Schizosaccharomyces pombe: one gene and its partners. The protein of the gene in region 3 interacts with the protein of the main gene of each other region in a biochemical or structural test. Each region holds a gene or a part of one and is shown on either strand. Other genes may lie near its edges.

Region 1 (7,338 bases), on a different chromosome or scaffold from region 3:
ATATTGCCGTTGCGACGGCCAAAGATATCCAAACCGTTATGATCTGTCGTTTCTTTTGTGGATTTTTTGGTAGTTCACCAATTACGACTGTCGCTGGTTCCTTTTCGGATATGTTCAGTGCTCGAACTCGTGGTCTTGTGATTGCAGTTTACTCTGCTATTATTTTTAATGGACCGTTAATGAGTCCAATTGTTGGTGGTTTTATTGGAAAATCATACTTGGGATGGAGATGGACGTCCTACATTACTGCAATCATGGGATTCACAGCATTTACATCTATGATTATATTTCACCGTGAGACATATACCCGCACAATTACAGAGATACGAGCGTCCAAGGTGAGAGTACTTACTGGGAACTATTGCTTACATGCCAAATCAGAAGAAGAGCCCTTGGAATTCTCATACTTTTTCCACAAATACTTCACATTTCCTCTCCGTCTTTTAATATTTGAGCCCATATTACTTGTGGTTTCAACTTATACCGCTTTCGTATATGGTATCCTTTATGGATTACTTGAAGCATACCCAGTTATTTTTGGGGAGAGTCGAAAATGGAGGTTGGGTGTTGAATCTCTTCCGTATTTGGCTATTTTTGTTGGTGTTTGTATTGGATGCTCTAGCGTTGCCCTGTTCCAGCCCTACTATTTTAAAAAGATGGATGAAAATAAAGGAAGACCTGTTCCTGAAGCACGACTTCCCTCCATGATGATCGGTTGCATTGTCTTTCCCATTGGCATCTTTTGGCTTGCTTGGACTGGTAATTATCCATGGATTCATTGGATTGTTCCAACTTTGGCAGGTAGTTTTATTGGCTTTGGAATCATTACAATTTTTCAACAAACAATCAATTATATCATTGATTGTTATAGTGGATGTTCTGCTTCTGCAATCGCGGCCAATACATTACTTAGAAGTTCGTTTGGCGCGGCATTTCCTCTTTTTACAACCCAAATGTTCAATAATTTGGGAATTGGTTGGGCTGGTTCTCTGGTCGGATTTGTTGCAGTTGGGCTTATTCCAGTTCCTTTTATGTTGTTTTTATATGGGCCGAAATTACGACAAATGAGCAAGCACTGTCTAAAGGATTAATTCGTCATAGAAGTCCGCTTTTTAGTTGATTTGCTTGACCCTCTCTTTTCCAGTTTTTGTTTTTCTTATTTCTGTTATATTCATCTTTTTTATTCAGAAACCATGCCCGCGGTTTGTTGCCTTGGGTTAATGGCCTCAGCATTTACTTGTTGTTATTGTTATTTTCGTTAATTTAACCAGTTTGCTGCCGTTTAGATATTTAGAAACGATGGACTTTGTTTTAAATGATCTCTATTACCCGCTGCCTCTTTCTTTTGTCTTTTTGTGACTTCTTTAATAATTCATCATCCTCAATGATTACTTTTGTTGATCTCCGTTTCCTTTATGTTTCTGATCATCACAAAAAAAGTACCTTTCAAATAGACATTTATATTTATTGGTTGGTTATGAACCTTACATATGATTTCCGTTTACCATAATACATTGCTAAGACCTCAACAAAAATAACTGTTAGCACAGGCCATACTTGTCAATTTATTATATCCCGTTTTTATCAATGTAATTGAATGTTTTCGAGTCCAGGTCTTGCCCGTAGAATCACGGTTAGTGTGAGTAGGTAGTAGATCTCGGGCCGTAGGTGTGAATGCCGTAAAGCTAGAACATTATCTGAGAATTTTCATTTTAAGAACGCCGTATGTTGAGAGAGAAAACAGATCTTAAATATCCCTCTTTTCAACGACTCAAGAATTGTTTACATTTTTTCTAGCTATCCTGTCGAGATCTAAGAGCTGAATGGGATACAGTTATAATGGATAACGATATAAATTTGGAAGACCTTAACACATCTTATGGAATTCTAACGGCTGGGCTACTTCGGTAAAAGTAGTTAGTAAGGGATAGCGATGGGATGAAAGCGCAGGGGGTTCATATTCTATCAACTGCTGATATTTTTAGTGATGCCTTAGTCATTGGTATTCATATATACGGATTTTTAAGTAGTATTATTAAAATATTTATGGTACAGTAACGGAGTGTAAAGGTGGCTTCTCCTACTGGCGTAAAATAATTAGTAAACCATTTTCCCATTTTTTGTTATTTACTATATCGAAACGCTCTTCCTAATGCGCAAAGTTTCCTCGGTAGTGTGCTAAGACTCCACGGTGTTTCCCCGTGTTGATTTTCGCACTAAAAATACTACTCCATACCGTATTTATAACCAGAACAAACAACAACAACAACGAAGGAATTGGTGTATTCACATATCTCAGATATTTTAATTTAAGAGCTGGAGGGACATATCAGTAGTTTCTTCATACGGGGCAGCCAGCCATTTTGAAATGGGAAGTGACGGGTCGAGTTTGTCACCGAAAGTGTCACAACCGGGACACACTGAAATAGTTGACCATGTCAGTGAAAAGGTGATCACGAATGGAAAAAATGTTAATAAAAAGGTCAATGCTGAAGTAGACGGAAAAAGCATGGTGGAAAAGGTAAAAACGCACGAAGAAAATGCAGAGGACTATCACTATGGTGGATACCACCCAGTCTACATTGGTGAAGAATTTCATCACCGTCGATATGTCGTTGAAAGAAAATTAGGCTGGGGACATTTTTCAACGGTTTGGCTTGCATATGATCGAGCTGCCAAACGGAGAGTAGCTTTGAAGGTGGTGCGTTCAGCAGAGCACTATCGAGAGACCTCAATTGATGAAATTCGCATTTTGCAGAAAATTAGAGAAGGGGACGAAAAGCATTTGGGCAAAAAGCATATCATTTCTTTGCTCGATTATTTTGTGCATCGTGGTCCTAATGGAGCTCATGTCTGTATGGTATTCGAAGTTCTCGGTGAGAATCTTTTAAGTTTGATACAGTCATACGGCCATCGAGGAGTACCTGTGGGTATTGTAAAGCAAATTGCCTACCAATTACTCATCGCTCTGGATTACTTGCATCGAGAATGCGGGATCATTCATACTGATCTTAAACCCGAAAATGTTTTAATATGCATTGATCAGGATGCCTTGCAACATATTGAGGCACCTGCAACAACTTCCTCCCCCACTTCTAATACCTCTTCTTCAAAAACAAGAAATAACACTGGTTATACAGCCAAAGCTCCAATTATTAAACGTGGCCAATCTGTAGATAACTCTGCCCAAGAACGCAAGACATTTGCAAAAAATCCAACTAAGAATTCTAAGCCTGCTGGCCAGGTCATTCCTAGCAGTCCTTTTACTTCCACTTTGAGCCGCTTTCCTTCATTAGAAGGTGCTGTTTCAGAAATCAGCCTTCGTGACTCTCAAAAGCATAATTCTCATCCTAATTCTCCGTTTTCTAGTGGAGATAATTCTCTTATACTTGATGGTGTTAACGGTTCTCAGGAACCCGTTCCAAAAATCACTGTTAAAATTGCCGATCTCGGTAACGCGTGCTGGACACGGAAGCATTTCACCAACGATGTGCAAACCCGTCAGTATAGGTCTCCAGAAGTAATTCTAGGATGTCGCTGGGGAGCTTCCGCTGATTGCTGGAGTTTTGCCTGTATCATTTTTGAATTGCTAACCGGCGATTACCTTTTCGATCCACGGAATGGGAATTCTTATTCTAAGGAGGATGACCACATTGCCCAAATTATTGAGTTATTGGTTAATTATCCTAAGCAAATGGCACTTTCAGGAAAGCACTCCCGCGATTTATTTAACCGTCGCGGTGAACTCCGAAATATTCATAAATTGAAGTTTTGGCCTTTAAAAGATGTTTTGGAGCAAAAATACCATTTTTCAGCCGAGTTGGCTCAACAAATATCAGACTTTTTATCTCCTATGTTATGTTTTGATCCTGCCAAGCGAACCAATGCTGGTTACATGAGCAATTCTCCATGGTTGCGCGAAGTGGCTGATCCTACGTTCAAAATCGAGACTACTGGAGCAACCGGTGAAGATGTACCCGGATGGGCTACTGAAATTCGTTAGTGTTTACCTTGATATTGGTTTTGAAGCGCTAGTAAATGATTTTTTTTTATATATAGTTTTTTTTTGCGATATCGTCCCTTTTTTAATTTCCCACCATTAGCGTGATTGCTTTAAAAAAGCATGACACCTTTCACTCTGAAATGGGTTACGTATGATTATCACGATTCCTTCTTTTGATCAACATTTACTGCACTGAAATTTGAACGAAATTTCCTTTTACTTAATGAATATTTAAGATATAGCAGGGTTTAGGTCAGCTGCTTTTTAAATCATATTATGTTTAGAAAACGCATAAAATAAAGTTTTGTCATTCAAAAGGAAGTTAATTGGAAATTGGTAACTTGTAATGTCACATATTAATATACTGTTCAGAATGCTGTCGAAAGAAGGAACAAACCGATGGTAAGATAACTCATTAAGGAACCATTAGATTAAACCGTACCTTTATTTCTCCTTTCTTCCAGCATTCGTTTTTCAAATTCGGTATTAAAATACTTTCTATCGCAGTCTAAAATAAATCTGGCACAACTTTCTTTGGATTCTTGAAGTCTCTTATTTGACTCACGGTATTCATCTGCTAAAGAAGAAGAATGAGGGTCAATTTGGGGTGGTTTTTGAGGACGGCCAGAGTTTTTTTGGGCTCGTTGGAAGTCAACACATAATCCAAGTAATTTTTCCGTTGTATACATATTACCAATGCAAGTGTGAGGCTGATAATGCATATATAGATCGAGTATATCCGCAATCACTGCTTCCGTTAGTGCTGGTGGAGCGAAGAACGATCTGGGAATTATAGGTTGAGGAAGTTGCTGTAACTTGCAAGCAATAGAAATCGATGCGACGGCAACAATATGGGCTGGATATTTTAACATTGTGTATGTTTTATAAGCATCAGTGCAGACATTCCAAGCTATACTTGCCGTGGAAGATGAAACTGAAAGTAAATTAGTTAACTCGAAAATTATAAGGTAAAATGAATAGCAGTCATACATTTCAGTGATTTTGCAAATTTTACCATGTAATTGTGTGGATGTCGGACTCGAAAATCGAAACAAATCAATTCCAGTGTCATTCTTTCTAAACCTAGAATCCTCTTCTTGTTCTCTTCGATTAGCTAATACACCTGTAAGCAAGTCTCCTTATAAACAAAAAACAATTATTGCGCACCTTGTAACATACTTGTGAATGAGCATCGACCTCAGAACCTGGATGCTTTTGAAGATAATGTGCTAAAAGAATATCACGAAACTTTTTGGCCGTATCTTCGATTTTACTAGCAACTACTAAGCAAGCAGTAGCGCACTCCTAAATGTGTTAGTTATTTTTGAAAGAAAAAGAGCCTAAATCAAGAGAATATGATGTTTATAACTTGGAGTAGCTGAGCTAACATTATTAAAAACTGTAGTCTTTTTTAATAGTATGACCAATGTACAGCATTCAGAATATTCTTATATCAGAATACGTAAAATTTCAAATAGCACAGCATACTCATGTGCGAAAGACATCCAAATAACATACCAGCAAAGGAATTTCATTCACGGGAAAAAATAGTTGGAAACGACTGTATAAAAGCATTGCAAGGCCGCTGGTCCTTACAGGGCTAAAAAAAAGTTAGATTCTAGATAATTTTGAGGAAAAGCATACAATTTTAAAGTTTTTGAAAGTGTTGATATCCAAGCGAACGCCTGCATTCGCAAATTATTTTCTTTGGGATCTCGCGTCGACAAAATTCGACTTATTTCTTTTTCTGAATAGTATGGGTGTGACATTCGTATTGAAAGTACATGATTCTCATTTTCTGCCATTTTAGCAGCTAAAATGGTGCTGGGTTTGTGAAGGCCTGGCTTTACCTGCAAGGTGCAAGTATGCTGAAGTTAAGCGATTCCTTTTAAGTAACGCATTTTATCATGTTGTATACTGTAAATCAATTAAAATAAAATAATTTTAATTCAGCAATTGCAGCTCGAAATTATCATGGAAATGTTCGCAGTTATTGAATTTGTAAATTATGACAGTCCTGCGTGCTATTGTAAAAGAGTTATGAAATTACTCATTTCTAAAATAAAATGATTGTTTAACCTTCGGAGTGTTCGTCGTTTAATTTCTGAAAGTAGCGAACTCCTACACTACAACATGATTTTAGTAAATTAGTTATTTAAGTAAGGAATAGAGACGCTATGACCTTCACGCCAATTTGTCTGTTAATTAAAATATTTTTTGCATTTTTTTTTGTCTAATGAAACAGACATTTCGTCAAATTGAGCTATCATAAGAAAACATTAAACATCTAATAAATTCATATTTTCCTAATAATTCTATCATTTTGCATATTCTTATTAACTAATTAATTTTTGCGATTATAAACGCCAAACATTTCCTGAAAGCTTTCCTTTCAATCTTTTAAAGTGAAACTCTCTTATTTTTTTTCTTATTAAACTAGTAGATATAGGATGATAATATCTTTTAATTATTTATACTATACATTGCTTCATTATTTCAGCAATTTTTACGTTCATTATAATTTAAATTCTGCTGCACAAGAAGATATGTATTTTCACTTCTTTATTAATGATAATTTACCATGCTTAGTACATGAGAAAGGCCCACAACTGAATAATTTTATGGTGATACCAGGATTCAATTTTAGGATGGTAATTTTAATAATAAATAAATCATAGAATTGAACCATTTGAGTGTTGTCATATGCATTTTTTTAATCTCTTAGGGTTATTTTCTATTCCAAACATTTCAGATAAAAAGATCGTTCACAATTTCTGCAAATCCAGACACTGCCTTTTGAGAATTTAAAAATATCCAAAAAGTAGATGAAGTATACAAATTTCATCTTGAAAAATACCTGTGCAAAGTTCTGTTTCAATTTTTGTAATTGATCTCACACTTCAATTGTCTAATACATACTTATATATTACAACTTTAAACTTTCGCTTAGATAAAAGCTTAGATAATACGTAACTCATCAATTCCTTGGGTAATTTTCTGAACCGTATTCAACACTCTTTATTTTCGCCATGTTGAGCTGTAGCTCATTTTTAATCTTTTTTCTATTCTCTTGGGTTCTTTTACCTATGAAAAGTTTTGCAATACCAATTATTAGTTTGGATAAGGTCCGACTAGCTATTAATGACGGAGCTTCTGAACAATTACCTGTGGTGATTTGGCATGGCTTGGGCGATACTCCCACTAGTTTTACTCTTACAGAGGTTAGCCAGCGTGTTCAGAAACTAACTAAAGGTGCGGTATATGCTATCCGCGTCGGTGACAACGAATTTGAAGACATAAAAGCTGGCTACTTAGGTAAGCTAGAGGATCAATTG
Region 2 (8,695 bases), 260 kb from region 3:
TGTTACGTTTTATTTTACCTAATGTCTCTTGGCAATCTCTATCAATCATCGATGACAAGTATTGTGAAAGATGAAAGATGATTAGTAATGATCAATCTTGATATTTTAAAAATCTCTCCCATTCACTAATTTCTGGCTAATTAATTAACTCACTACACATCTAGTATATCGACGAGTATCCGGCTTTCGGGTATAAAAGAAGAGCATGAAATTCCACGAAAACAAACTTAACGAATCATTCATTAGCGATGCTACAAAACAATATACTGTTGGAGTTTGCCGCTCGGTAACAAGAAAATGGCATTCATAACAACGACCCATTCCAACCGTAATGGGCCATACTGAGTTTTTCTGTGGTTACTCAAAATCGTTGATCAAATTCATGGTAGCTGTTTCTTGATTCACTTTTACTCGGGACTTGTAAAGCCGATTTTCGGAAAAGTGTGATGAATAAATGACGCTGTCGGAAACAACTGGTATTTTTGGGTTGGCGAGTAGGTTATTTTCTACAAAACATACAAATAATACAATACATTGCTAGCAAAATCAATAGTGCATATATAGTACTAATAACAAAGAGTATTTAAAAAACAACATATCGATTTAGCAGAAAAAAATGGGAAGGAAGGTATTGAAATAGAGGATAGATGGCATGGCTCATTAAATGTAGGAAACCAAAGTAAGGATGACTGGTTTGAGATTATTTCCTTACATCCCGTAACATGCAAAAAAATGCAGCAATTTAACACGGTGGAGGGAAAGTATCGAATTTTTTTACTGGTAAATGTAATATATTGGATTGAAACAACTCCGCTTGCCATTATTAAATAAAAAATAATTCTTTTCGTTAACTAAAAAGTGAAATCAAAATTAATTTAAAAAAAAAGAAAAGTTAAAGGAATACTATGCTACCAATATTTCCCTCGAGTTTATATTGATAAAGCATTTAGCTAGGCTTACAAATAAGTTGCTTGCTTCATATATATCTTATTACCTGTTTGATAGTGAAAAACAATATTCAGCCCCAACGGTTCGGTTCCTTTTTGCTTAATTGTACTACCACACAACACAATACAAAGCTTAAATCCTGAACCTAGGAAATGGGTATGCGGTCCGTTCAACGAATGTTGAAGTTGCATCGTCCTAGATAATCCTAGGAGCAAAAGCTTTGATTGCTTGCTCAGCCTTTGCTATGAGAAAAAGGAGTCGATAACTTGAGAACACAGCGATCGGATTTCCCTTTAAAGATGGAAGATTCATTTGTTACATAAGAAATTCATGTCAAAATGATTTCTGTTTACACTGCGTTTTATAGATGTTACTATGTATAGCAAGATTAATTAACATGTTATTGTTATTTGTTATTATGTTTTTAATACTATGTATTTATAGCATCTGTAATGTCTGCGTTTTTCAACTGCCAAAGAGCGCATTTTCTACAAGTTTCGGTTAATGTTGCAAATAACCGATTAGACTTTCATGTCATGACACTTGATTTCACTTGTGCTGACGCTTTTTTATGAACGGCATATCGCTGTTCAGCTGCTTTACCGACATGTAATGGCCAAATCTCGAGCTTGACACTTTGTAAAAAGTCTCAATAATAATTCCCCATCCACAACTGACATACATAATTGATAGTACTTACTAGCCTTTACCCTTGCCAGCCAGACAGCTTCCACTGTACTGAGGTCAGGGATCATGACATAGACTGATTGCAAATTACGAACAAGACCGTCAATCTGCACTTTAGCATCTCCTAAAATAATAATCGTTAAAGCCGACTAGCTATTAGGGATGACGGGAGGAGCAAAAAAATAGCCTGAAAAAAGAAAAAGAAAAGAAAGCGTATTTAAAGAAAGGTTAAAATTTTCTTTGTTCTTTCAATAAGTAAGCAGTTTACTCCTGGTCCAGAAGTGCGACGGACCTTGCGTGCCGGTAAGGAAGTTGCAAAAAAAAAAAAAAAGGAAAAAAAGAACCGAGATAAAGTTGACTTTCAACTTCCGTCTGCAGTAACCGGATTTCCCAAAAATTTCAACGGGTAATTCAATTATGCAAGGGGATTGTCATTCTTTTTTTTACATTTTTGAGTTTCACGACACATTAGTCCCTTAATTGCAGCTACAACCATGCCTTGTTGCCTATTTTTTTCCTTTGCTTAATTACAATTTCTCACCCCATTTGAAGTCATGTTGATTGAATTTTTCACATCCCGTTTTCAAGCTCTAACATCAGTCATTGTAGATGATTGATTGTAGAAAATTATATTTGTTTCCTTTTCGCGACCATTAAATGATTATTCAATAGTTGATGAATTATTGCCTTTGTTGTTTTGTTACTCATCATGGCAATTTTATCGTATTATTTGTTACATAGATTATTGTCATCCACTAAATTTTTTGATGGCCAAGCGTCGCTGTTTGGACGAAATATTCGATTACCGAGGACGGATGGCCATAATCAAGACTAGTTTGGTAAGAGAATTTGGCAGATGGGCTGGACGACATTTGTTGAAAGTGTGAGAAACGCTTCTGAAAAGGCATGTTTTCTATATTTCATTTCTATTCTGGTAAAGAATTGTGCGGAATACTATACCATGGACAAATGGGGCGGGCGACAAGGCAGCTACAGTATAAGCGGGCATATAGCATTCATTGTATAATACAGTATATAGTACATGGTAGGTAGAGTTGGATAGAGATGGTGAGAATGACAGTTGCATTATTTATGCGTAAAACTATATGTAAATTTTATAACTATTTATGTAAACATGCGTTTATATATGTGTATGAGTGTGCATGCTTGTGTACATTTGTGTGTGTGTGTATGTGTGGTGTGTATTGATGTTTGAATGGTATGATGACAATGATAAGCCATTTCTTACGAAAACTCCTTAAGTGAATATGGTTGAGTTGAATGGAGCGGCATTTGAATGGTAAATGATTAGTGATCTAAATTAATGAAAATTCATTCAGCGCCTCTGCCTCTACGGCCATGGCGGTTTTCGTAGATCTCAGCCCTTCAGAGTAGCAAGCGTCTCTTACGCTATAGTTGGGTGACGGCTAGGTACGTTGCATACTGCGCACATGGTGTTGTGGAATGTGTATACTTTTTCATAGGAAGGAGGTGCCAAACGCAACGCGCCTGGATGGTGATTGTTGGGTTGTTCCCTCGTCCGGCCAATTTTTTCCAGCTATTTTATTTTAAGGATAGAATAACAATGATGTTGTTCCGGTCTCACAAACATGATTATCTCATGCAAATTTCACCTTTTCTAAGTGGCTTTACCAAAGAAAACGCAACTTATTATTATCCAAACTCTTGCTAATTCCTTTTTACTTTCTCCACATCCCTCGAATTGGCTTGAGGCTTTTTCTTTTATCCTTTCTATCCTCAATTACTAGTTTTCTTAGCAGTTGTATTATTAGGACATTGCTTTGTTGTTTTACCCCCCCCCCATTGGAATTACATTCTGTGGGATTGAAGGAAAGAAAAAGAAAATTGCTTATTAAGAGTCGTATATACTTCATTCTTCAATTTACTACACTCACTACTTGCTTTTCTCCATCTACGATCTACCATTTTGTTAGGTAGACTTTCGTACTACAGCTACATCGCTTGTCGTCGACTTTGTGTGCTTTTGAAAACTGCCCTGGTAATTGCCGATTCTTTTGGGGGTTATTTATACTTTTGTTTTATCCAAATTACTAATCCGCCTGATTTGGACATTGATCAATTTTGGTAGTAGCGCAATCGCACCCCCTCAAACACAAAAACCTCATCATTGTCTCATGGTACAATATTGCCTTGGAACATCATTACTTTAAAGCAATACGATTGATACAAAGGTTTCCGCTAGTTGTTGATTGAAGGTTTGGTGTTTATCGTTTTTTCGTGTTTGATTTGCCTTTACAGACCCTCCGTGTTCGGCATACTTATTCTCCGGTATTGTAGATATTTATTTCTCTCCGATACCTTTTTGCATTTGCTGTTTCTCTTTACTGTTGCACCCTACATTTGATTGAGAAAGGGGTTTAGTGGTTGTCGTCAATTGTCTTTATTCTGAGAAAACGGCTTTCTTCTCCCTGATATAAGAAACCATTTGGTTTGATAAATATATTTCAAGTTCACTTTCTCACTGTTTTCCGCTTCTTTGCTGATTTATCGTTTGATCGACGGCCTTGCAATTTTACAACGTCGAGAATTTTAACTTCTTTCTTCGTGATTGCATTCAAATTTTGAAACTCTTTCGAAGTAGGTGTACCAGTTAACTTGATTGCTCATTCTTCCTCCCATTCTCTGCTTCTTGATGAACTAGCTGTTCTGGTCCAACACCAATTGTCGAATGCTTGTCAGTTCAGTTCTATTGCTTTAATTCGTCCATTTTTTATTTTTATTTTTTAAATTCCGCCTTTCTATTTTGTTCTTACCCTTCGACGAGTCGAAAAAAAAGGTTTTTTATTGCTTTTGTCGCTTGGTGACTTCGAACAAGGAAACTTTTCCCCTTATTATTGTTTGAGAAACACTTATTTTCGGTGGTTGGTATCTCTTTTCATCATTTTTGCTTCTGGTTTTGCATAATTCTAAAAGATACTTATCCCTTTTTTCAGGTTTCGACGTCTTCTACCTCTTCACTTTACCAATTTGCTCGCATGACTTAGACGGAATCTTTTTATTGTAAAATGCATTCCTTAAAACGTCGTAGAAATCATGCGCCTGATTGGCAGGACTTTTATAAAAATGGTGTTCCACAAGAAGTCATTGTTATAGAGGACTCAGCTTCTCCACGGCTTACCCCTAATTTACCGCCTCCTTTTTCTGTTCATCAATTACAATCCTTCGTACCTCCGCAACCTCCCTCATCATCATCACCCTCTACCACTGGCACTGTGGCAGTCCCTATCAATGGTGCGAATGCTGTTTATCCATCAACTAACTCGGTATCTCTTCCTCAATCCTATGATCCATGGTTGGATGCTAATGGCGTCGTTCCATTACCGCATGATGTCGCCAGCCATCCTTCATATATGGTTCAGTCTCCTACATCGTATCATGCGTGTTCAAATAATCAATCGCCATTTCCCCATTCACATCATCCTCCCCTTCATAATCCACTACCTGTTTCATGTCAACCTGTTTTACGGCCGCCTCCTGTCCCTCAAGTTCCTTCACACTGGTACCCGGTTTCGCTTCCCTCTCCTAATTTACCTCACCAACCAATTTCTAAACCTCCAGTGATCCCTAATTTACCAAAGCTCCAAGTCCATCCGAACAGGCTTCCACATCCCATCCATAATCATCCTTACTCGTCTCCAACCTCTTATCCTCCCCCACTATGTCCTGCAACGTATTGTCCTTCTAACCCTCCTCAGCTAGCTCCGGCTACTGCTATCGCTCCTTCCTCGCAATCGTCTCAACATAAAAGTGTAAATTATTCCGTCACCCCAAGTTCCATTAACAATCATACCGCTGTACCATTATCTCCAACGCTGGCCGTATGGCTTCCGATGACTCAACCAACTTTCCAACCTCCTTCTGCAAACGTTTATCAACCGGCTTCTAATGCCAATCAAGTTATCACTCCTGTATCTATTTCCGATTATCGACCTCCGAAGAAAAGGAAGCGAGCTGCATGGCCCCCATATAAAAAAGTCGACCGCGTAAATGTTCCTGTTGTGCATGATACTACCGCTTTTGATCCATCAACTTTTGATGATGATGACGGTCATTACAAGGTTGTACCTAACTCCAAATTTGCCAACCGTTATACAGTTGTTCGTTTGCTTGGGCACGGTACTTTTGGCAAAGTTATCCAGTGTTACGATCAAAGTACAGGTAGACATTGTGCTATCAAGGTGACTCGAGCAATTCCAAAGTACAGAGAAGCTAGTCTCATTGAATTAAGAGTTTTACAAACTATAGCTCATAGTGATCCGACAAATGAAAATAAGTGCATTCAGTTACGCGATTATTTCGATTACCGCAAGCACATCTGCATTGTGACTGATCTTTTTGGCTGGAGTGTCTTTGATTTTTTAAAGAATAACAACTACATTCCTTTCCCTTTGAAGCATATTCAGATGCTATCCCAACAACTTTTTAAAAGTGTTGCGTTTCTTCACTCTTTGGGACTAGTACATACCGATCTTAAACCCGAAAATGTTCTTCTGGTATCTAATGCCTCAAGAACTATTCGATTACCTTATCGGAATTATTCACAGAAAGTCCTTAATAGTTGTGAAATCCGGCTTATCGACTTTGGTAGTGCAACATTTGAAGATGAATACCATTCCAGTGTAGTGAGTACTCGTCATTATCGTGCTCCAGAGATTATTTTAGGGTTGGGTTGGTCTTATCCTTGCGATGTTTGGAGTATTGGATGTATTTTAGTTGAGTTATTCACGGGACAAGCCTTGTTTCAAACCCATGAAGATAGTGAGCATCTGTGCATGATGGAAAAAATCCTGGGTCCCTTTGATAGGAATATGATTTCGCGTTCCTCTCGTACATCGCAACGTTTTTTTAAATCTGACGGAAAAGTCCGTTATCCTTTGTCAAATACGCCTAAAAAAAGCATTAATTATCTTCAATCTCTGCAAACGCTAGAGCAAATATTTGCAGTATCATCTCCAGAAGTGGCTTTGCTGCTTGATTTATTGAAAAAAGTATTCGTTTACGATCCTAAGCGGCGAATAACTGCAAAAGAGGCCCTTTGGCATCCCTTTTTCACCCAACCAATTTCTTCAAATTTGTGATGGATAAACTTAGAGATTTATAATTTACTTCATGTTTTTCAATAATTTTCACTCTTTCTAATTTACAAATCTACGGAAGTCTCGTATTTCTGGTTTGTGTTACGCTTTAGCTGATGTTTATTCGTTTGTTATTATTCAGTTTCTTAGACGAAAACTCGCATGTTCTACAATTACTTTAATTGCATAGAGTACTTGGTTATCCGATATAAATTAAAACTCAAAATTGTCCTCTTTTTAGATTATTCCATAAAGGTTTGATTAAGTCGTCAATTACACTCGTAAATTTTGGTCCTTGGGTTAAATAGTAGTTACTCAGTGAAATAAAAGAAAAAAAGATCATTAATGGTTTTCAGGACTATTTTAATAGATACGGATTACCTTGACAATTTTTTTGAAGTCTGAAGTATTTTGTTATGAACATAATTGTATAATGAAGAAAAGGTTTGCCCATTTCATTAAACAACAGAGATCACTTGCCTGAGACCCAATTTATATAATATGAGACAATAGCTCAAGTAGTTAGAACTTTAAAGGATCCGACTCCTCTTTTAAATTTTCCTCATTAAATAGATAAGCCAGAGGCTTTCCAAAATAACGAAACAATGAGATATCCGATATTTTAAGAGTCATTCCATCAAACGCCAAAGCTATATGTAAGTCTTCTGTCGAAATATCAATGTCTGGTAATTTGGGATATCGTTGGCTAAAATGAGTCAAAATAACGTTTTTTGTACCAGCTTTTTTGGCCACTTCTAAAGCTTCAGAGTAAGTACTGTGTTGCTTTTTTATTGCAATTTCGTGCATAGAGTCTTCCAAAGTAGCTTCGTGAATTAATAAAGTTGAGTCTTTGGCAATGTTAGCAAAATCCTCAGAAGGTCGAGTATCTCCAGAGTATGCGATCTTCCAACCACTGGAATTAGTAATCTCCATGCAATATGAATACGGGCAGTGTATGGCAGGAACCGTTCGAAAAGATACTAAATCAAATTCTTTAAATAAAGAAGACAACCTAGAGGATTCCAAAGCAGACGGCTTCCTGTCAGTACGTAAAGCACTATTGGAAATAAATACGATGTTGGATAATGGTAGATAATCAATCCTTGAGTATTCTAGTAGCCAAAATTCAAATTGTGGAGGTGCTGTTATAAACAACTTTGATCTGCCATCTGAGTACTTCGTCCAAGCCTTTAAAACCCCTATAACACCAGCATGATGGTCAGCATGCATATGGGAGATATAAATCCATCGTAAAGAAGCTATTTCGTATTTTAAATTGTCACCATACTGCCTCGATAGACGTCCCAAAGTGCCCTCTCCACAGTCCAAAAGTATGTTTTTCATACTGATAGCTGAGTCTTCCATACATTTTTTGTCAACGGGAATTCTAACGTAAGTAGATGAAACATTTCTGTATAAAGAAGGCATTGCAGATCCAGTGCCAAGAGTACAAATTTGGATGTCAGAACCTGCAAAGCTCGGTGCCTTTGGTTTATCACTAACATATTTTTGAGCTTCTTCAACAAATGATTTATAATCTGGTTTCTCTTTCAAAATTTTATCCTTCAACTCTTCAATCGAAACCCCAACTTCCGAATCGTCAATACCAGTTTTTTTTCCAAACGCAAAACGCAGTTTGGGTTTGGCAAAAGCAATTCGATTGTTTTTTTGTACATTTTTAACTTCATAGCAGTTAAAGCCTAAAGGAAAAACTTTTGAATCTAACAAATTAAGTGTTGCAATAGCGACTGCACTCCTAGGATAATTTATTACTTCGTTTACTTCAGTCGAAGCAATTAGATGGCTCACCTCACTTGGGAATGAAGAAATCCAGCTCTGATAACGTGGATTTTTGTATACTTCTGGTGTAACCGAATGAATGACACAAACAGGTTTAGGTGCATTTGTCCATTTATGATTTTCAATGACCAAGTCAATTACGA
Region 3 (7,101 bases):
AGGTGTCATCTCGAAAAGCATCAAAACATTGCAAAGCTAAGAAAGGGAAGTATTTATCATTAAATTCATTCATCTAAAAACAAAGAAACGTCGGTATATATAAAGCGTAAACAAGTTTAAGGCAATAGACCGAAACGGGAAAATGCAATTAAGATGTAAGCTACGCAGTTTGGTATCTGATTTAAGGATACGTAGAACTGCGGTGAGTTTTCCTTGTGATCTATTATATTACAATACACAGGTTGTATAAGTAGCAACTGAGTATAGGTATTGTATTAACTGGGTTATAATGTTACCTATCACTAATATAGCTCATAACTGAACTGAGGAACGAGTTCAGCAGTAGCTCTATTTATAGTATTCAGATAATATAGATCTTAATAGATTATCATTAAGATTAATTTCCATATCGTATCATAAATGGTACGATATATAATTAGAACATGTGACATATAGTGATACGCAACGTAGTGTATCATAGCGTAATGTAGTATTGCTGACATAAGAAACGTTCGTACATTTCGGATATTGGTGATTACGTATTTCTACAGTGGAACACTATTTAGAATCGGTCTCTTGGTTAGGAAAACGTGCCAAGGTCATTAAATATTTGGTTTTCTCCTAATAATTTGCGGTCTTGTTTTAAAACATACTAAATATTTTTGTTGCTTTAATCTAAGTTTTATCTATTACTATTCAAACAGAAGACAATGTCTTCATGTTATACTGTGATAGAACAGCATTGAGAAATTCTTTTTTCGGCTTTATAAGGTAACACTTCAATTATATTAATTCTTATATTTTTAATGACTGTGCTGAGATTTCATATTTTATTAAAAAATGCCCACATATCGCTTTAATTATCTACGTTTCAACAAACTATGTGTTTCCTTTTTTCGAAGCAAATTTGACAAACGACCTTTCGCTTCTCAAAAGTTTCCTGAAAATTTAGTTCCTGATAATTCAAGTAATGACGCTAATTCGCAACCAGAGGAAGTCTCAAGCAAAAAACCATGGTATGTGGATGAAAAACATAATCTATTTCCTAAAAAAGCGCATTTCGATGCGGTTGCGCTGCCACCTATTCCAAAAGGTGCTCCAAACTTTTTAGCTGATGTGTTAAACCTTCTTAAAAAGAAGTATTATGCCACTGATCTCAGTTTTGTTAACTCACCCGCCGATTCTTTTTGGTGTGATTCAGATCTTATTTTACTAGCTTCTTGCAACTGTGGATCTGAAGTTGTATCCGCTACTAATGGCTTACTTCGCCTTTTAAAACAAAAAAACGTTGGACCGGTGAACGTAGATGGCCTTACTAGTGCATCTCGGAGAAAAATTTTAGAACGGAGAATGAGGAAACGTTCCAATTTGTCAAACCGACAATTAAACACGTCTGAAAATAATTGGACATGTCTCAGTATCGAAAACTTCGGCATAAGCATTCATGTAATTACAAAAAATTTTAGGGAATACTATAAACTGGACAATATTGAACATGTTAAGGATGAAACTTTGTATTCTGATCTCGAACATGGCAAACAATCTAGGGTCTCACTCACTAGTAAATCTACACCTGATAATTCTTTACCTCCAAATTTTATTAATAACCACTCGAACGTATTTCGGAGAAGTTTCCATACTTGTAACTTTTCTTTAAAAAGTGCCGCATCCCTTTATTGCGATACCCAGGATATCTTGTTAAACGTCAATTCACAAAATCTGACGAGTACTTTGGAAAAATATAAGAAAATGCATCTCCAAAATCCTAATAATTTTTCTTTGGATTTTACTCTTTCAATTTTTGAGCGACTTCGAAAAGATTCTTCTTTGCAACTGACTACAAAGGATATCAATACGCTTTTCAGTACTATAGCTTTGTCTCCAACAAAGTTGAGTATGGCTTCTAAACACTCTAAAAATTTGGTTAGTGAGCGGATGTTGTATCTTTCACTAATGTATAAATCTTTAGTCGATCTAAAAACCATCGATTCATTTTCACTAAAACTACTTTTTTTAAAATTTATGATATGCTCTTGTATGGTTAAAGGGGAGTCAAACTTCTTTCTCGACAACCGCATATTTCTTTTGGAAAGGATTATGAACCGTTATGGAATACCCATGACTATTGACACGTTTCTACTCATGCAATTTATATTGGCAAAAAGCAATCGTTGGAGCGAAGTTTGGCGTCGTTGGGATAATCTTAGAAAGGCTGGTGTTGTTTTCAATGAACGTTTATACAATCACGTATACCTTTTGGCCTTCGAAAGTAAAAATGAGCGTGTCATAAATTATGTACTTACCAACATTTTTGAGGATATGGTTAGCCAGTCACCCCCCATTCCAGCTAGTAAATTAATGGCGACATCTTTAAAAAAATGTGTTCAAAGCTTACCCGAAAAGTATGCACATTCGTTTCCATCAGTGCGAAATTATATTGCAAAAATGGAAAACTCAATGACGCATTGAATCTGATGTTATTGTACTTTCTACGTATGCATATACGCGCATTTGTAATGTTTACTTTAAAACCTACCCCTTCTTTCATTAGTTCAATAAGAACAAGTAATAAATATTAACAATAGTATTTTATAATTTACCCAGTTGTAAATAAACCTAAACTAAAATTTTTTAACGCCGATGCAAAAATTCATGCATTTAGTTACCCAAAAATATAAATTATCGATGCTTTTTTGACGGCCGATTGTTTTTGGCAAGTCGTTTCTCTTTGAGCTCACGCGCCTTTCTAATTTCAACAGCTGATTTAAGCTCACTGTTCACCTTAATACCTATTCCTCTTTCTTTAGCCTCTCTATTACGTTTATTTTGTTTGTGATAGTTATCACGGAACTTATCAGCTGGTTTTGGAGTCTGTAACTTATTATGTTTATATCGCTTATTTTCCCGTATAGGAGAATCGTTGGCACCGAATGCTTTAGATGCTTTCCATTCATCAAAACGACCACTACGATATGTTGCAGGCAATTTCACGCCGCTTTCGCCACGAATTATCTTGGGAGACCCTTTGGACCCGTCTTCGTCGTTAATTATATTAACAAATTTCTTTTTCTTTGGATCCCAACGTTGTCCCCCCTTCCTTGATTGTTCAATTCCTTCGTCATTTGTTAAATCGAGAATAGCATGACGAGCTGCGGTAGTAAAATTTTCACCAGAATTTATAGCATAGCCAGTTTCTTGAATAGATTCCTTTGGAGCGTAATGAGACATATAATACTCTTTATCTTTAAAATCAGTTGTCTTCTTTTTTGATAACTCCTTAGGATTTTTAAATACCTCTTCAAGCTCTGACTCTGAAGCTTCTGACATATTACCAGGAGAACTGTCAGTGATTTTATCAGATGCAACTTCAGATTTTATTCCTTTTGGTTTTACTTTGTTTCTTCTTTTCCGCATGATTTCTGCAGCTTCTGTCTTTAAGTGACCACGCTGACCGATTTCAAATACTGTTTCTGATGGCCGATAAGAAGAAACTTTTGAAAGCAATTCAGCATATTTCTCCTCGGCCTCAATTACCGATACATCTCCAAATAATGGATTGTTGGAACTCCAGCCCTTGCTATCAACCAATTCCTTAGCTCTTTTAGCACTCTCAGCACTACAAGTAGCTCTTGTGCGAAAATATAGTTTCTCACCCCTTGCAGCAACGTTGGAAAGTTGCTGTAGCTCAACGTCTCTCGAAACTATTCTTTGTACCCATTCTAGTAGCTCAGCAACAAGTTCTTGGGGTAATGATCCCAAAACAATCTGTTTTGTAAAATCACAATCCGAGTCAGTTTTAACCTGCTTCGAGGATGTAACTAAAGGTCGGTTTAAAAATAGTTGTAAGTCTAATAAATAACCAGCATCTTCTGCTCTAACCAATGAATACGCCCAGCCAGTGCGTCCTGCTCGAGCTGTACGTCCTACACGGTGAACAAAAACTTTTGGTTGAGGAGGGAAATCATAATTAATAACATTAGCAAGTAATGGGATGTCAATACCACGAGAAGCTACGTCTGTAACGACTAGTAAATTTGTTTTTCCAAGTCGAAAATTATTAATTTCATTGAGACGCGCTTCTTGGTCCAAAGACCCGTAAATTTTTGAAACCGAATATCCTGCTTGAACAAGTAACTCAGAAACATACTCGACATGATGTTTTGTAGGAACAAATACTAGAGTAGAATCTGGTGATCCAGATTCACTTCCTTTAAGCGCTAATTCTAATGCACGTTTTCTTTTCTTCGGATTATTGACATTTCCTATTTCTCTTGGGCGCACGTTATCTTTTAGAGGAAGCTTAATGATATCTTGTAGTATACATAAGAGAGCAGCTTCGCGTTCAGCGGTTTTAACAGAAAAAAAGGCACTTTGTAGATCCGCGGAAACCTTGGATTCTACATCAAGGCGTACAAGAACCGGGTCTTGAAGTCCAGCCTTTGCAAAATCAACAAGAGTACGTGGAAGTGTGGCAGAGAAGAGAAGAGTTTGACGAGAAGTCGGCAAAGCATGTAAAATCTCTGTCAATTGAGCAGCAAAACCCATTTCAAAAAGTCTATCGGCCTCATCGAAAACGACATACTCGATTGAACTCAACTCCAATTTCATTTCCACCTTTAAATGTAGAAATCTTCCAGGAGTTGCGACCACAATATCGGGTTTTCCGGATAGCAAACTAAATTGCTCCTCTAGACTGACGCCACCGACGATAGCGACAGATCGAAGATCCGTACCTTTAGAAAAGTCTTTGACGACTTTCACAGTCTGAAGAGCAAGTTCTCGATTTGGCGAGAGAATTAAGGCGCGAGTATTAGAGTTTGCTAGAGTGGACTTCAAATGCTCAATCATAGGTATAACAAAAGCTGCAGTTTTACCTGATCCAGTACGTGCCATACCTACAACATCACGACCTTCCAATAAAAGGGGAATCGTTTTGCGCTGAATCGGCGTAGGAGCTTTAAAACCCTTCTTAAATATTGCTCGAAGTAAAGTTTGATTCAATCCTATAATTAAGTTAGAAAAATATCAAAGTAATTTAGATTACAGTGTCTTGAAGCATAATGCAAAGTGACCTTATGGCAAGTAATCACGAAGTTAACATACCCATCGATTGGAAATTAGAAGCCTTTCCATTCCCCTTTTTTCCCTTCGTCCTCCTGTTAGACTCCAAAAGCTTCGAGGCAATATAATTACCATCATCTTCATCGCTCACATTTTCACCAACATTTTCGTGCTTATCTTTTTGATTATCAGTAGCAATATCAACAGGAAAAGCTTTTAAAGAATTTGATATATCGACCTCGTCGGACGTCTGGAATCCGGACATTTAAGACGAGTGAGCTGCACTTTTGTTGATTTTTTAGTTCTCTAGTGTCGCTGGCAAGAAAATTTACCGTATGAATAACAACTATCAAAAGGGCCTTCTTAAGTTTGATTTAACATTCTCATTTCAATTGTTCTGCTGCGTTTCTTTATATTAAAAATAAGTAATCCAACGTATTTTAATAAACTATAACGAACTTGAAATAAGCTGCTTTATATGTCAGCAATACTACACTACGCTACGATATACTACGTTGTGTATCACTATATGTCACATGTTCATAATGTTCTATTTGCTCTATCAGCTTTACATGATAAGTTATCTAGAAGGATATAATATCATTTATGATAAGATGACTATCAGTTATAATCCTTGTTATTTCAAATGTTATAAATTGAGAACAACTGAATTTGATTCCTCAGTTCAGTTATAAGATATCTCAGCTATAGATAACGATATATCCTATATATTAGAATACCTATATCCAATTCCTACTTATACTACTTGCGTATTACAATATAATAGATCACAAGGAAAACTCACCGCAGTTCTACGTATCCTTAAATCAGATACCAAATTGCGTAGCTTACATATATTACGTTCTAGGATAATACAACCAGAGACGTTATTTGTTAATAGTATACAACTGAGCTTTGATGCAATAAAGCAACCGGATTCTCAGCACGTTAGTACTAAACAACATTTGAACTCCGTAATCCAACAAATGGTTAATAACTAATCGTTTACCTAAGGCCGTTGACATCAAATTCATCTTGAAATCTACTGTTGAGAAAAACCATTTGTTTCTCTTTTTTTGCATAACTAGCACAAGTTGCTTTAGCCTTGAAGTTGAAACTCAATAGTAAATATGAGTAAAATTGCTGGGAAAAGATTAGTGTACTTTCCAAATATAACGTTCACGTTATGCAGAGGACTAAATCTTCAACCTAAATTTGCAGTATTTCGCGTACCTCTTCATGTTAACAAGTTTGATGTTCGCGATTATTTGCAACATGTGTACAATTTAAAAGTCGTATCAGTTAAGTCAAGAATTTATCAGGGCAAACTTTTTAGAAATCAACTAGGACAGGTTAAGAGACCACAATCTGAAAAACGCGTCATCGTTGAGATGGAAGAACCTTTCGTTTACCCAAATGCCCCAAATGATTTGAAAGATTGGCAGGAGGGTGAATTACTTCCTGATGGTTCTAATGTGAAAACCCTGAGCAGGTATCCAAAGGTCCTTGAACAAGTTGACATGAAACGGGTGAACGAAGAGTTAAGTAAGTTACAAGATAAGCAGATACTCGAATCACAACAGAAAATCGCTAGACTTTTAAAGAAAAAGTATTAGTATTTTTTTCATTTCCCAGGTAATGTTTTATTTTGGTTTCCGTCTATTCATTAATGCCTACAAAAGCATAATTATAGCCTCAAATGCCTCATCGAAGCGGTATGGTGTTTAATTGCATTCATTATAACCTCTCTTCTTTCATCTATTAAACTTTCAACGCCACTTGTTTCATTTTGAAATGTTCTAAAACTATTTTGGAAATTCTTTTCATGTCGGAAAAGCACGGTCGTCAATTAATAAAATAATAATTTTGTATCACAATACTTCTTAAATGCGTATCTCGCAAGTTCCAGCCCTAGTTGAGTACCTTACCCATTTAATACTTTTGTATTTGCTATTAGAAGGTTCACTGACCCTTAAGTATTGCACATGTAGACCGGAGCTGGTAAACATAAGAATATTGAAATCTAAGGATATTGGAGGC

Evidence for each region.
Region 1: of the proteins of dbp10 (region 3) and dsk1, one has a biochemical effect on the other in vitro, tested with the Schizosaccharomyces pombe proteins (one large-scale study listed by BioGRID).
Region 2: of the proteins of dbp10 (region 3) and lkh1, one has a biochemical effect on the other in vitro, tested with the Schizosaccharomyces pombe proteins (one large-scale study listed by BioGRID).

What each region holds. Positions count from the first base shown.
Region 1 is NC_003423.3:822,844-830,181, reverse strand, and holds dsk1 (SR protein-specific kinase Dsk1), read left to right. Parts: upstream 1-2,249; 5' UTR 2,250-2,368; coding exon 2,369-4,003; 3' UTR 4,004-4,434; coding exon of another isoform or gene 4,435-4,937; 3' UTR 4,938-4,993; coding exon of another isoform or gene 4,994-5,117; 3' UTR 5,118-5,182; coding exon of another isoform or gene 5,183-5,308; 3' UTR 5,309-5,377; downstream 5,378-7,338. Other genes in the region: SPOM_SPBC530.15C (spermidine family transporter), read left to right, coding at 1-1,091; lsc1 (Lsk1 associated cyclin), read right to left, coding at 4,435-4,937, 4,994-5,117, 5,183-5,308, 5,522-5,603, 5,648-5,808; palmitoyl protein thioesterase/ dolichol pyrophosphate phosphatase fusion protein Pdf1, read left to right, coding at 7,033-7,338. UniProt on the Schizosaccharomyces pombe protein: May play an important role in mitotic control by altering cellular location, degree of phosphorylation and kinase activity. Abundant expression accelerates the exit when cells are in M-phase and also delays the entry into mitosis when cells are in G2.
Region 2 is NC_003424.3:654,820-663,514, reverse strand, and holds lkh1 (dual-specificity), read left to right. Parts: upstream 1-3,337; 5' UTR 3,338-4,682; coding exon 4,683-6,755; 3' UTR 6,756-7,274; downstream 7,275-8,695. Other genes in the region: 3' tRNA-processing endonuclease tRNAse Z L2 Trz1, read right to left, coding at 7,275-8,695. UniProt on the Schizosaccharomyces pombe protein: Protein kinase that may act as a negative regulator of filamentous growth and flocculation. Appears to have a role in normal cell wall and septum formation and in cell separation.
Region 3 is NC_003424.3:396,869-403,969, forward strand, and holds dbp10 (ATP-dependent RNA helicase Dbp10), read right to left. Parts: upstream 5,379-7,101; 5' UTR 5,327-5,378; coding exon 5,104-5,326; exon of another isoform or gene 5,004-5,103; coding exon 2,680-5,003; 3' UTR 2,594-2,679; downstream 1-2,593. Other genes in the region: adherin Mis4, read right to left, coding at 1-21; ATP synthase complex assembly protein atp25, read left to right, coding at 841-2,469; mrp20 (mitochondrial 54S ribosomal protein uL23m), read left to right, coding at 6,192-6,677; AP-2 adaptor complex subunit Apm4, read right to left, coding at 6,945-7,101. UniProt on the Schizosaccharomyces pombe protein: ATP-binding RNA helicase involved in the biogenesis of 60S ribosomal subunits and is required for the normal formation of 25S and 5.8S rRNAs.